Saccharomyces cerevisiae S288C: one gene and its partners. The protein of the gene in region 2 interacts with the protein of the main gene of each other region in a biochemical or structural test. Each region holds a gene or a part of one and is shown on either strand. Other genes may lie near its edges.

What was found.
Region 1: of the proteins of NTH1 (region 2) and TPK3, one has a biochemical effect on the other in vitro, tested with the Saccharomyces cerevisiae proteins (one study listed by BioGRID).
Region 3: of the proteins of NTH1 (region 2) and TPK2, one has a biochemical effect on the other in vitro, tested with the Saccharomyces cerevisiae proteins (2 studies listed by BioGRID, with this or other methods).

What each region holds. Positions count from the first base shown.
Region 1 is NC_001143.9:133,895-137,343, forward strand, and holds TPK3 (cAMP-dependent protein kinase catalytic subunit TPK3), read right to left. Parts: upstream 1,812-3,449; coding exon 615-1,811; downstream 1-614. Other genes in the region: mitochondrial 54S ribosomal protein mL61 MRP49, read right to left, coding at 1-240.
Region 2 is NC_001136.10:450,532-454,372, reverse strand, and holds the start of NTH1 (alpha,alpha-trehalase NTH1), read left to right. Parts: upstream 1-1,897; coding exon 1,898-3,841. Other genes in the region: RCR2 (Rcr2p), read right to left, coding at 1-251; Ran GTPase-binding protein YRB1, read right to left, coding at 723-1,328. UniProt on the Saccharomyces cerevisiae protein: Hydrolyzes intracellular trehalose to glucose. The disaccharide trehalose serves as a storage carbohydrate that is mobilized during nutrient stress. Regulates the level of trehalose as a protectant for cell integrity during heat stress.
Region 3 is NC_001148.4:164,256-167,855, reverse strand, and holds TPK2 (cAMP-dependent protein kinase catalytic subunit TPK2), read right to left. Parts: upstream 1,601-3,600; coding exon 458-1,600; downstream 1-457. Other genes in the region: serine/threonine protein kinase HRR25, read right to left, coding at 2,096-3,580.

The DNA of each region.
Region 1 (3,449 bases), on a different chromosome or scaffold from region 2:
TTTTTGCTTGTCTTCGTTCTTTATCCTTATCACGTCAAACTTCATTCTTGGATTATAGAACTGCAAAGTGGGTAGGTAGTTATGCCAAAAAACTCTGGCACCCATATGTCCATTGTGGTTTTTCGTTTGAAAAGTCAATCTAAGACCTGAGTATTTTTTAGGATCGACTAGAATCTGCGGTAGTCTGGTAGTGGCGCTAATTTTATTCAAAAATTTTAACTGTTGTGCAACCTTAGACATCTTCTTATTGTAGCAGGCTCACTTATGTTATACTGTTCTTCTATTAATGAGTTTTATGGCCGATTCTTACAGATATCCTGTTTTCCCTGGGTGAAAAGTCCTAGATCACTTTGAACGTCCCAGTCTTCTGAGGACGCAAATGTAGTCACAATATGGCGTATATGAATGCTCCTTTATTTATCTGTATACACCTCTATTGAATAGACGTACGTAGATATATACATGTACATATATGCATGTGTCACTTTTTTATCATGGCCCTGTTAGACTCACCAAGAATCTATAACCAGGTTTGTTTGTGCTTTTTCTTGTTCTTGTTTTTACTTTTATTGATTTTTTTTTTTTTTCAATTACAATTATCCCACTGAACCTCCTTAAAATTCTTTCATTAAATCCATATATGGATCCTCCCCTTGAATTCCATAGTTGAATTCCTCTTCAGGGTATCTGTCAAATTGAGAAGTGTCACCTTGGCCCTGTTGGATTGGTGGTTCGTACGGCGTTTCTATGTATCTTGCTAACAATTTCTCCCATATCACTTCGTTAAACCACGGATGGTTCTTGACATCTTCACTTCCATTTTGTAAGTTACCCAACCTTTCACTTAAGTCTCTGGTAATTAGCTTCTTCAATAAGTCCTGCGCGTCTGGATGGAAAAATGGTGGGAACTTCAATTCGGCGTTCAGTATATTTTCGTAAGTTTTCATGGTGTTCGAATTGTAAAATGGAGTGTATCCGGCAAGCATTTCATAGATTAGCACACCAAAACTCCACCAATCCACTGATTTATTATACGGTTTTGTACTGACCACTTCCGGCGCTATGTAATCTGGTGTGCCACATAATGTGTATGTGACATCGGGAACGTATTTTGCGAAGCCAAAGTCGGTTATCTTGATATGGCCGTTTTTATCTAGAAGGATATTTTCTGGTTTCAAGTCTCTATATATTATATCCTTACTGTGCAAATATTCCAACGCTAAGCATACCTCTGCGGCATAAAATTTGGCTACTGGGTTGGGAAATCTTTGAGATTTACGTAGTAAAGAAAATAATTCACCACCTTCAATGTAGTCCATTACCATGAAAACTTGCTGAGAATCTTGGAACGTTCCCCACATTCGAATGATGAATGGATGTGAAACAATTGAAAGCATTCGGCGTTCGTCATTGGTGTGTTCAACCTGCTTCAGCTTCACTATAGTGTGCTTTTTCAATGTCTTCAAAGCGTAAAACCTCCCATTGTGATTGGAACGAATTAGGTGAACTCTCCCAAATGAGCCAGTTCCCAAAGTTCTTAAAATCTGAAAGTCACTTAGGGAATACTTTCCTGAGGTATCTCTATATTGTAGCATTGGTTTTTTAACCAAACAAATACCTGCAGACGCTTCTTCTTTCAACTTTCCGCTGTTTCTTCCATTTATCTCCACGGGTGTGTTGGAAGAACATTCCTCATGCACCGAATGTGCGTTTACAGGAATGTCTTGTCCAACGTTATCTGGAGTTGTTTCTGTCTTGGCAGTAATGCTTAATTTCCTGATTTCATTGTTGTTCATCGGATCAACATACATTTTGTGCAGGCTCGCTCTTTCCTTGTACAACCACCGATATACAATATGATTAATGTATTATTCAATAATATACGTGAAACTTTCTTATTGCTTAAAGAGTGATCGCCTATAAATTTTCTCCGACGACTGCACAAAGTGTCTCGTATGTCCACTCGAGTTTCTTACCGATAGAAGTAATAAAGCAGACAAAACTTTTAAGATCAGCTGGTAAAAAGTGTCTTTTCTTTCCATATTCTCATTGAACACAACTTTATTTTTCAATGGCATCGAAGAAATCCCGTAGCTGAAGCAACGGAAAAAAAATACCGGAAACTGCATAATGAGGCTATTCACTAAAAAGAAAGTGGTTCACCAGTATGCGTCGGAAACGTCATATAAATCTATATATGTATATGTACATATATATATATATATATATATATTAGTGAGTATTTTAATGTATATCAAGTTTTGATAAAGATTGCAACTTGGCTTGAAATAAACGCATTTTTGCGCACCAGAGAGTATCTGAAACGTTGACGCAATTTTGCAAAAATGCATAGTCGCTTTTCTTCAGACCTTCCTAAATCACTCGTACCTGGAACGACTTTTTGAAGAATGAAGTCGTTGTCCTCTTGAAAAAAATAGTAAATGATACGGTTGATCGGCCGGTGGCCACCGTCGTGACAAACCTAGGAACTCAATTAGGACCATGGCATATAAGTATATGTGGTCCAAGCTTCGCTGTGTAGGCCGTAATTTTGCCGGCATTTACTATATTGTTGACGAATAAGTGATAGATTTGCCATATTTATCCCTCCTAAAGCTCGGTAAAGGGAACTATCTGAGATGGATAGCTTGAAGAAAAAAAAATACTTGCTGATGGACCTCCATGTACAACTTTTGAAATAGTTGGGACATTAAATGGAGTATGGTATGCGGTTATAAAAGTAACTCCCCGAAGCTCACTTAGAGAAGAAATTGTCTTGCTAAGGTAATAGATCTTGGAAAGTTTAAACAATCGTCAATTTTTTCGCTCCTTAAGCAATTGATGTTGTTGCGTTATTTTCTGGCAACGACGACTGGCAGGTCATAGAGACCTACCCAAACCAATAAAGTCTCAAAAATTCCACTTTTCATCAAAAACTAAGGAATTAGTCTTCCTGCGGGCAGTGAATGCTTTTATCGTTATGACTTTAGTGCAAATTGTAGATATTTCGAATGCTTTTTGCATTTAAAAATGAAAATCTATGGCCATTTCTTGTTTTAAACTCATTGAACTTTCAAGGTAAATTCACGAGCAATATATTGGCATTGTCACCACGCTACAATTCGGTAAGTTTCTCGATTCAAACTAGTAAATACAACTATTGGAAGGGCACCCGGTGCTAAGGCGAGAAAACTGCTGATTGTGTACATTATTAGGTGTGATTAGGAAAAATGAACGCGAATAGTAATTTATTTCAAAGATGTGCTTTTTTTTTTCGCTGTATAGCTGTTACAAGACCTGCTATTAAAAAATTCACTAGCAAAAATTGCTAGTATAAAGCTATTGAAGTACTTGATGAGTTTAAATTTTTCCTTGCCGCCATTTCTTTCGACAGGAGTACTTTATCGAAAAGATAAAGGCAAAAGTTATATATTTTTAAAAACGCTCCA
Region 2 (3,841 bases):
TAGGTAGGCGGGGTTAACCAAGCGGTTCCCCTAATCGGAGCTTGACCCATAATTCTTCTTCTCCTATTCACTTTTGCAGTTGAAAACAGAAGTATAAGGAGTGCAACTATGAAAAAAATAAAAAAAATCCATCTTCCCCATCTCCATGAGGAAGAGCTAAATGGATCATCATCTGTAATCGCTTCACCATTGTTATTATTATCATCCTGTCTTTTATGTATTAGGAAGTCGATCTGCTCCCGTAAAATCATTTCAAAACTATACTCTCTGTTTAGCTAAATTTCCTTCAGCTTTCTAGCGAGCTAAGGAATGTATTCCAAATTTACTGCTCCTTTATTACGTCAAAAATTTCTATAGTATTCGATTCTCATTAGTAATTATAAAGGAGTAGCGAGAAAAACAAAAATAAAAGGGCGGAAACATAAAGATGGTAAATAAGACAGAGAATATTACCCGGAAACATACTACGAGATTATTGAGCTAATCTCCATGCACCAAAGTGGTTAGACATTTGGCTACATTGACTACTGCAACAATTACTTGAACCCTCTAATCCTTCTTACATATCTATTCATATGTGATTTCACAATGCTACATAAGCGTTTTTTATATAATTAAAGAGCAACTTTTCCTCACAGTAGATAAAAATATATATGCACGCTGTAAAGGAAAATTACATTAGGAACAAAAAAATCTAGACGCAAGTAACAAGCACATCGAAACTAAGCCTTTTTGTTGATTTCTTGAGCTTTTTCAAATTCTTCTTTAAATTTATCAGCATTTTCCTTACTGCCAAATCTGATAGCAAAAGTGAAGGCTTCTGCTTCACCTTCTGCAATATCTGCTGTACAAGCATACACCCAAGATCTATCAGAACCAACGTTAGGCTTCAAAGTGTATTCTGGAGCAATGATGTGGTTAGCACAAATCTTTAAGGTCTTGTCTCTTCTCATCAATATTCTAACCTTGTTAGTCTTTTTGTTCTTCAAGAACTTACAGTCACCAGTACCTCTTTCTTTCCATTCCTTGGCATCGGCATCGAATCTGAAAAGCTTGGCTCTGACCTTGTAAAGAACTTCTTCGTCTTCTTCCATTGTCTTAACATCTACCTTTTCCAGGTGAACCACTGGTTCAAAATGGATATCTGGTGATTCTGGAGCATCATCACCTTCCTTCTTGGTTTCCTCCTTGGTATCTTCTTCGTCTTTCTTGGTTTCTGGCTTTTCGGCCTTCTTACCACCAAACATGGAGAAGACAGCAGAGGATGGTGGCTTTGGAGCAGCCTCTTCCTTCTTGTCGACGACAGGTTTCTTATCTTCGCTAGACATTCTTTTTCTATAGTTGTGTTTATCTTCTTGCTTTTATTTCAAATTAAACAAGATCTTTCTTCTTTCTCCAATTGAATATCAATTTCATCATCAGATTTTAGTTTCTGTTTTATTTTTTATTTTTTTATTTTTTTTTTGTTTCTTGTTTTCCGCGTACTTCCCGCTGGGCGAAAAAAGAAATGAAAAAAAGAAACGACAGGAGCATCGTGTAGGACGAAGCCCCTTATCCCCTAGTTACCGAAGAAGGCCACCAATCTTAAGTTTGATAGAGCAGTACTTATATAAGGCTATATATAGACTGGTTCACAAGGTTATCAATATGAAACTTGCGCGATCACCGATTTACGGGATTTTTCAGGAGCGAGGTACAAGATTTGTTGGCCTGAAAAGATCGCAAAACATTAGCTAGAAATTTTCCCCCTATCGTTTTCCGTAGAGTAAATATAATATCAAGAAGATAGTTTTATATTGACTGATTTCACAACCAACTGCATAGATATAAGGAGATTACTAGATACAAGAACGCCTGATAAACAAAAAAAGAAAAATTAACAAAAAAAATCAGTAGAATGAGTCAAGTTAATACAAGCCAAGGACCGGTAGCCCAAGGCCGTCAAAGAAGATTATCATCACTAAGTGAATTCAATGATCCATTTTCGAACGCAGAAGTCTACTATGGCCCCCCAACAGACCCAAGAAAGCAGAAGCAGGCAAAGCCCGCTAAGATCAACCGTACGAGGACTATGAGTGTTTTCGATAATGTATCTCCTTTCAAGAAAACTGGTTTTGGTAAACTTCAACAGACTAGACGTGGTTCTGAGGATGACACCTATTCAAGTAGTCAAGGTAATCGTCGTTTCTTTATCGAAGATGTCGATAAAACACTTAATGAACTACTGGCTGCTGAGGATACCGATAAAAATTATCAGATCACCATCGAGGATACCGGTCCAAAAGTTTTGAAAGTCGGTACCGCAAACTCCTATGGCTATAAGCATATTAATATTAGGGGTACGTATATGTTATCCAATTTGTTGCAGGAACTAACTATTGCGAAAAGTTTTGGTAGACACCAAATTTTCTTAGATGAAGCTCGTATAAACGAAAATCCCGTCAACAGATTATCAAGATTGATAAACACACAGTTCTGGAACTCTTTGACCAGGAGAGTTGATCTGAACAACGTAGGCGAAATTGCAAAAGATACCAAGATTGATACGCCGGGGGCAAAAAATCCAAGAATCTATGTTCCTTATGATTGTCCAGAACAATACGAATTTTATGTTCAAGCTTCTCAAATGCATCCATCTTTGAAATTAGAAGTTGAATATTTACCAAAAAAAATAACGGCAGAATACGTCAAATCCGTCAATGATACCCCCGGTTTACTAGCATTGGCTATGGAAGAGCACTTCAATCCTTCTACTGGTGAAAAAACTCTCATTGGTTACCCTTATGCTGTTCCTGGTGGTAGATTCAATGAATTATATGGTTGGGACTCCTATATGATGGCACTAGGTCTCCTAGAAGCCAACAAGACTGATGTTGCAAGAGGTATGGTGGAGCATTTTATTTTTGAGATTAATCACTATGGAAAAATATTGAATGCTAACAGAAGCTACTATCTATGTAGATCACAGCCCCCATTCTTGACTGAAATGGCCTTGGTAGTATTCAAAAAACTTGGTGGTAGGAGTAATCCCGATGCTGTGGATTTGTTGAAAAGAGCTTTCCAAGCAAGCATAAAAGAGTACAAAACTGTTTGGACCGCATCTCCAAGGCTTGATCCCGAAACAGGCTTATCCAGGTACCATCCTAACGGTCTCGGTATTCCTCCGGAAACTGAAAGTGATCACTTCGATACCGTTTTACTACCATATGCATCGAAACACGGCGTTACCTTAGACGAATTTAAGCAACTTTATAACGATGGTAAGATAAAGGAGCCTAAATTGGATGAGTTTTTTCTTCATGACCGTGGCGTTAGAGAATCTGGACACGACACTACATATAGGTTTGAGGGCGTATGTGCCTACCTGGCCACTATTGACCTGAATTCTCTTCTTTACAAATACGAGATTGATATTGCAGACTTCATAAAGGAATTCTGCGACGACAAATATGAAGATCCTTTAGACCATTCTATAACAACTTCAGCTATGTGGAAAGAAATGGCCAAAATCAGACAAGAAAAGATTACCAAATATATGTGGGATGACGAGTCGGGGTTTTTCTTTGACTACAACACAAAAATCAAGCACAGAACGTCATACGAATCCGCAACTACATTCTGGGCATTATGGGCTGGACTTGCCACGAAGGAGCAAGCACAGAAAATGGTGGAGAAAGCACTACCCAAGTTAGAGATGCTTGGAGGTTTAGCTGCATGTACGGAGCGTTCTCGAGGCCCAATTTCTATTTCGAGACCAATTAGACAATGGGACTATCCATTTGGTTGGGCACCCCATCAAATTCTTGCTTGGGAAGGCCTCCGTTCTTATGGTTATTTAACT
Region 3 (3,600 bases), on a different chromosome or scaffold from region 2:
CTTTTCATAGGTAATGCACCGCAACATTCAATTATCTAAAAAACTTTCAGGCGTGCCGGTCCCCTAATTTTTGCACTGAGATCATGAGATCAGTAAGTAAAAGCTCATATAGGAAATAATCATATAGAAAAAAGCAGAGGAATGATATTCGAACATTTTCTATACATCACCCCTCCTATTTTTAGATGAATCTCTAAGATCTAAATGCCCTCAACTTAAATATGATATTGAATTAAAATGAATTGTAGTATAGAAGATATTTAGGGCAACGCTTGTTCTTCTCATCTCTTTTTCTTTTTTTACAATATGAACTAGCTTAAAACAGACCACAAATAAGGCATCCGTTAGGTAAAATATAAAGAAAGTGCGCCAGATTTTGGTGGAGGAAAAAAGAGAAAGGAAAAGGAGTGAGAGAAAGTACTTGAAAATTGTTTTTGTGTTTTTTGGTTCATGGAACTTAGAAATCTTGAAAGTATTCAGCATATGGATCATCGCCTTGAATACCATAATCTAGCTGCTCCTCGGGATATTGATCGAATAAAGACGTGTCACCGATACCTGATGTGATAGGAGGCTCGTATGGAGTTTCAATATCCTTTGCTAACAATCTTTCCCATACAACTTCACTAAACCATGGGTGAGCTTTGATGTCCCTGGAACCGCTTTGTAAATTACCGATTCTTCTTGTCAAATCTGCAGTGATCAGTTTGCTTAGTAGATCCACGACGTCGGGATGAAAATATGGTGGATATACTACTTTACCTTGTAAAATCTTTTCATACGTCTTCATTGGAGTAGTATCGTAAAAGGGTGTATAACCAGCTAACATTTCGTAGATTAGAACACCTAGAGACCACCAATCCACCGACTTATTATATGGCTTTGTGGTAATAACTTCAGGAGCAATGTAATCAGGAGTCCCACAAAGCGTCCATGTGACAGTTTGTACCTCTTTGGCGAACCCAAAATCGGTTATTTTAATGTGGCCATTTCTATCCAGCAAGATATTTTCTGGCTTTAAATCCCTGTAGATGATATTATGAGCATGCAAGTACTCTAATGCCAGTATGACTTCCGCAGCGTAAAATTTTGCTACAGGATTAGGAAATCTTTGTGACTTTCTCAGTAACGAGAAAAGTTCACCACCTTCGATATAATCCATCACCATAAAGATATTCCTAGCATCTTGAAACGTACCCCACATTCTAATCAGAAACGGATGCTCCACAAGCTTTAGCATACGTCGTTCGTCATTGGTATGTTCAACCTGTTTCATCTTGACAACTTGTTGTTTCTTTAAAACTTTTATAGCATAATACCGACCATTGTGAACAGAGCGCACCAAATGAACCCTACCAAAAGATCCAGTACCAAGCGTTCTCATAATCTGGAAGTCATGTAGTGTATATTTGCCTTTGGATACGAGAGATTTCTGGGGCAACTGAGACGTCAGCAGTTGTTGATGCTGACGCTGCTGTTGTTGTTGTTGTCGCTGCTGTAAATCATGATGCGGTTGTAGGACGCCTTGCCCGTAAGTATTAACATTTTGCTGCTGGATTGTTTGACCAACTGGCTGAGCCCTTTCTGCAACGAATTCCATACCGACAATTTTCAACAGTATGTGAGTTAACCTGAGTGAAGCTGCTGTTTGTGCCGGCTGTATATTTGCACAAACTTCCTTGGTATTCCGTCGTTATCGTCTCGTGATTGTTTCCTAATCAGACACTATAAGGCAAGTTAATTATCGAAAATACGAATTGATGCTGTCTTCTCAGAGGCCCTCCTTTAAAACCGTCCAATATTCGTGATTGATCTTCGATCGTTAGCCCTTTATTACATAAAAAAAAAACAAATTGGCCAAGAGGTGCTCCGCTCCCCCTTAATTTCCTTCCCGAAGAAAAAAATGCATAAAAAAAGTGGTTCTTTTAGCTATCATCTTTTTAGGTAAGAAGGCCAGAATTGTATATATTAACTCGATATGGAATTGTGTGTACGTATATGTAAATAATAATAATAATATATATATATATATGTGTGTGTGTATGTCTATATATACATATGTTTATTTTTGTGCGTTTTGAGCAATATATGTTGCTTACAACCAAATTGACTGGCCAGCTGGTTTATCTTGAGGCGGCTGTTGTGGATTAGATCTCATTTGTGGAGGTACAGATGCTTGATTAGTATTAAAATTATTGCTGTTTATTTGTGGGGGATACTGAGTAGCCCTGGTTGTAGCCATCGGAACTTGCTGCTGTTGCTCCTGAGAATCTCTTTGTTGCTGCTGTAGTAACGGTTCAGGATAATAATTTGGTCTTTGGCCATTTGGTTGCTGCTGTAGCTGTTGGGGCTGTGGTTGTGGCTGCGAACTTTGGACCTGCTGCTGCGGCTGCTGTTGTCTCAAGTTTTCCATACCTTTATCTAGTGCGTTCAATAATTCCTCTGGTAAAGAAGAGGCTGCATTATTATTCAAGATAGTTTGTTGTTTGATCTCTTCTGGTGAAGGATTATGTTTGTCTTCATTCTTGTAATAGTGGAAATGGGTGGGGAATTTCTTCATGGCTAACAGTTTAATCTTGTTGAAAGTTTCAGACTTGTTGTCTGTGCTGTTACTTGCACTTGCTGCATTGCTATTTGCGTTCAAATCACCTTTTTCGATGAGGAGGTCCCTTTGCTTCTCCACCATCGCCTTTGTGTAACGCAACATTGTCCAATCGAACAAGTGGTCGTTGTGATACTCTAGTTTAATACTCAGATCTTTAAACAGCCTTGCCAAGAACAAATAATCTGGCTTCTCATCGAATTTCAAATTCTTACAGTAAGCCATATATTCTTGAAACTCTAATGGTAAACCTGAACATAGAGTTTCCACGCTAACGTTTAATTTCTTTTCCATGATACGATCATACTTTTGTTTCTTGGTGGTTGCTTTCAAACCCTGCCATGGCAAAGAACCCTTACAAAAATAGATCAAGACATAACCTAGTGATTCTAAGTCATCTCTTCTACTTTGCTCTATTCCAAGATGCGTATTGACACTTGCATAACGAGCTGTACCTGTCAAGGACTTGTTCTCCCTGTAAGGAATATGACGATGTGTGTTGAAATCTCGGTATTTCTTTGATAGACCGAAATCAATAACATGAACGGTGCTACCACGGCGTCCTACCCCCATTAAAAAGTTGTCTGGTTTGATATCTCTATGAATGAACGACCTTCCATGTATATACTGAATACGGCAAAACATTTGCAAAGCCAGCATGATAACCGTCTTAAAGGAGAACCTTCTGTGACAGTAGTTGAATAAATCTTCCAAAGATGGGCCTAGAAGATCGATGACCATAGCATTATATTCACCCTCTCTGCCAAACCATCTGATGAACGGGATTCCCACACCACCGCTTAAGTATCTGTAGACGCGGGACTCATAGTCCAATTGAGGATGTCTGGACCTGATCGATTCCAGCTTGATGGCTACTTCTTCACCACTAATTAAGTTCGTGCCGTGGTAAATGTCACCAAAGGAACCACTCCCAATCTTCCTGCCAATACGAAATTTCCTTCCTACTCTTAAGTCCATCTCTTTTTAATGTATCCTTT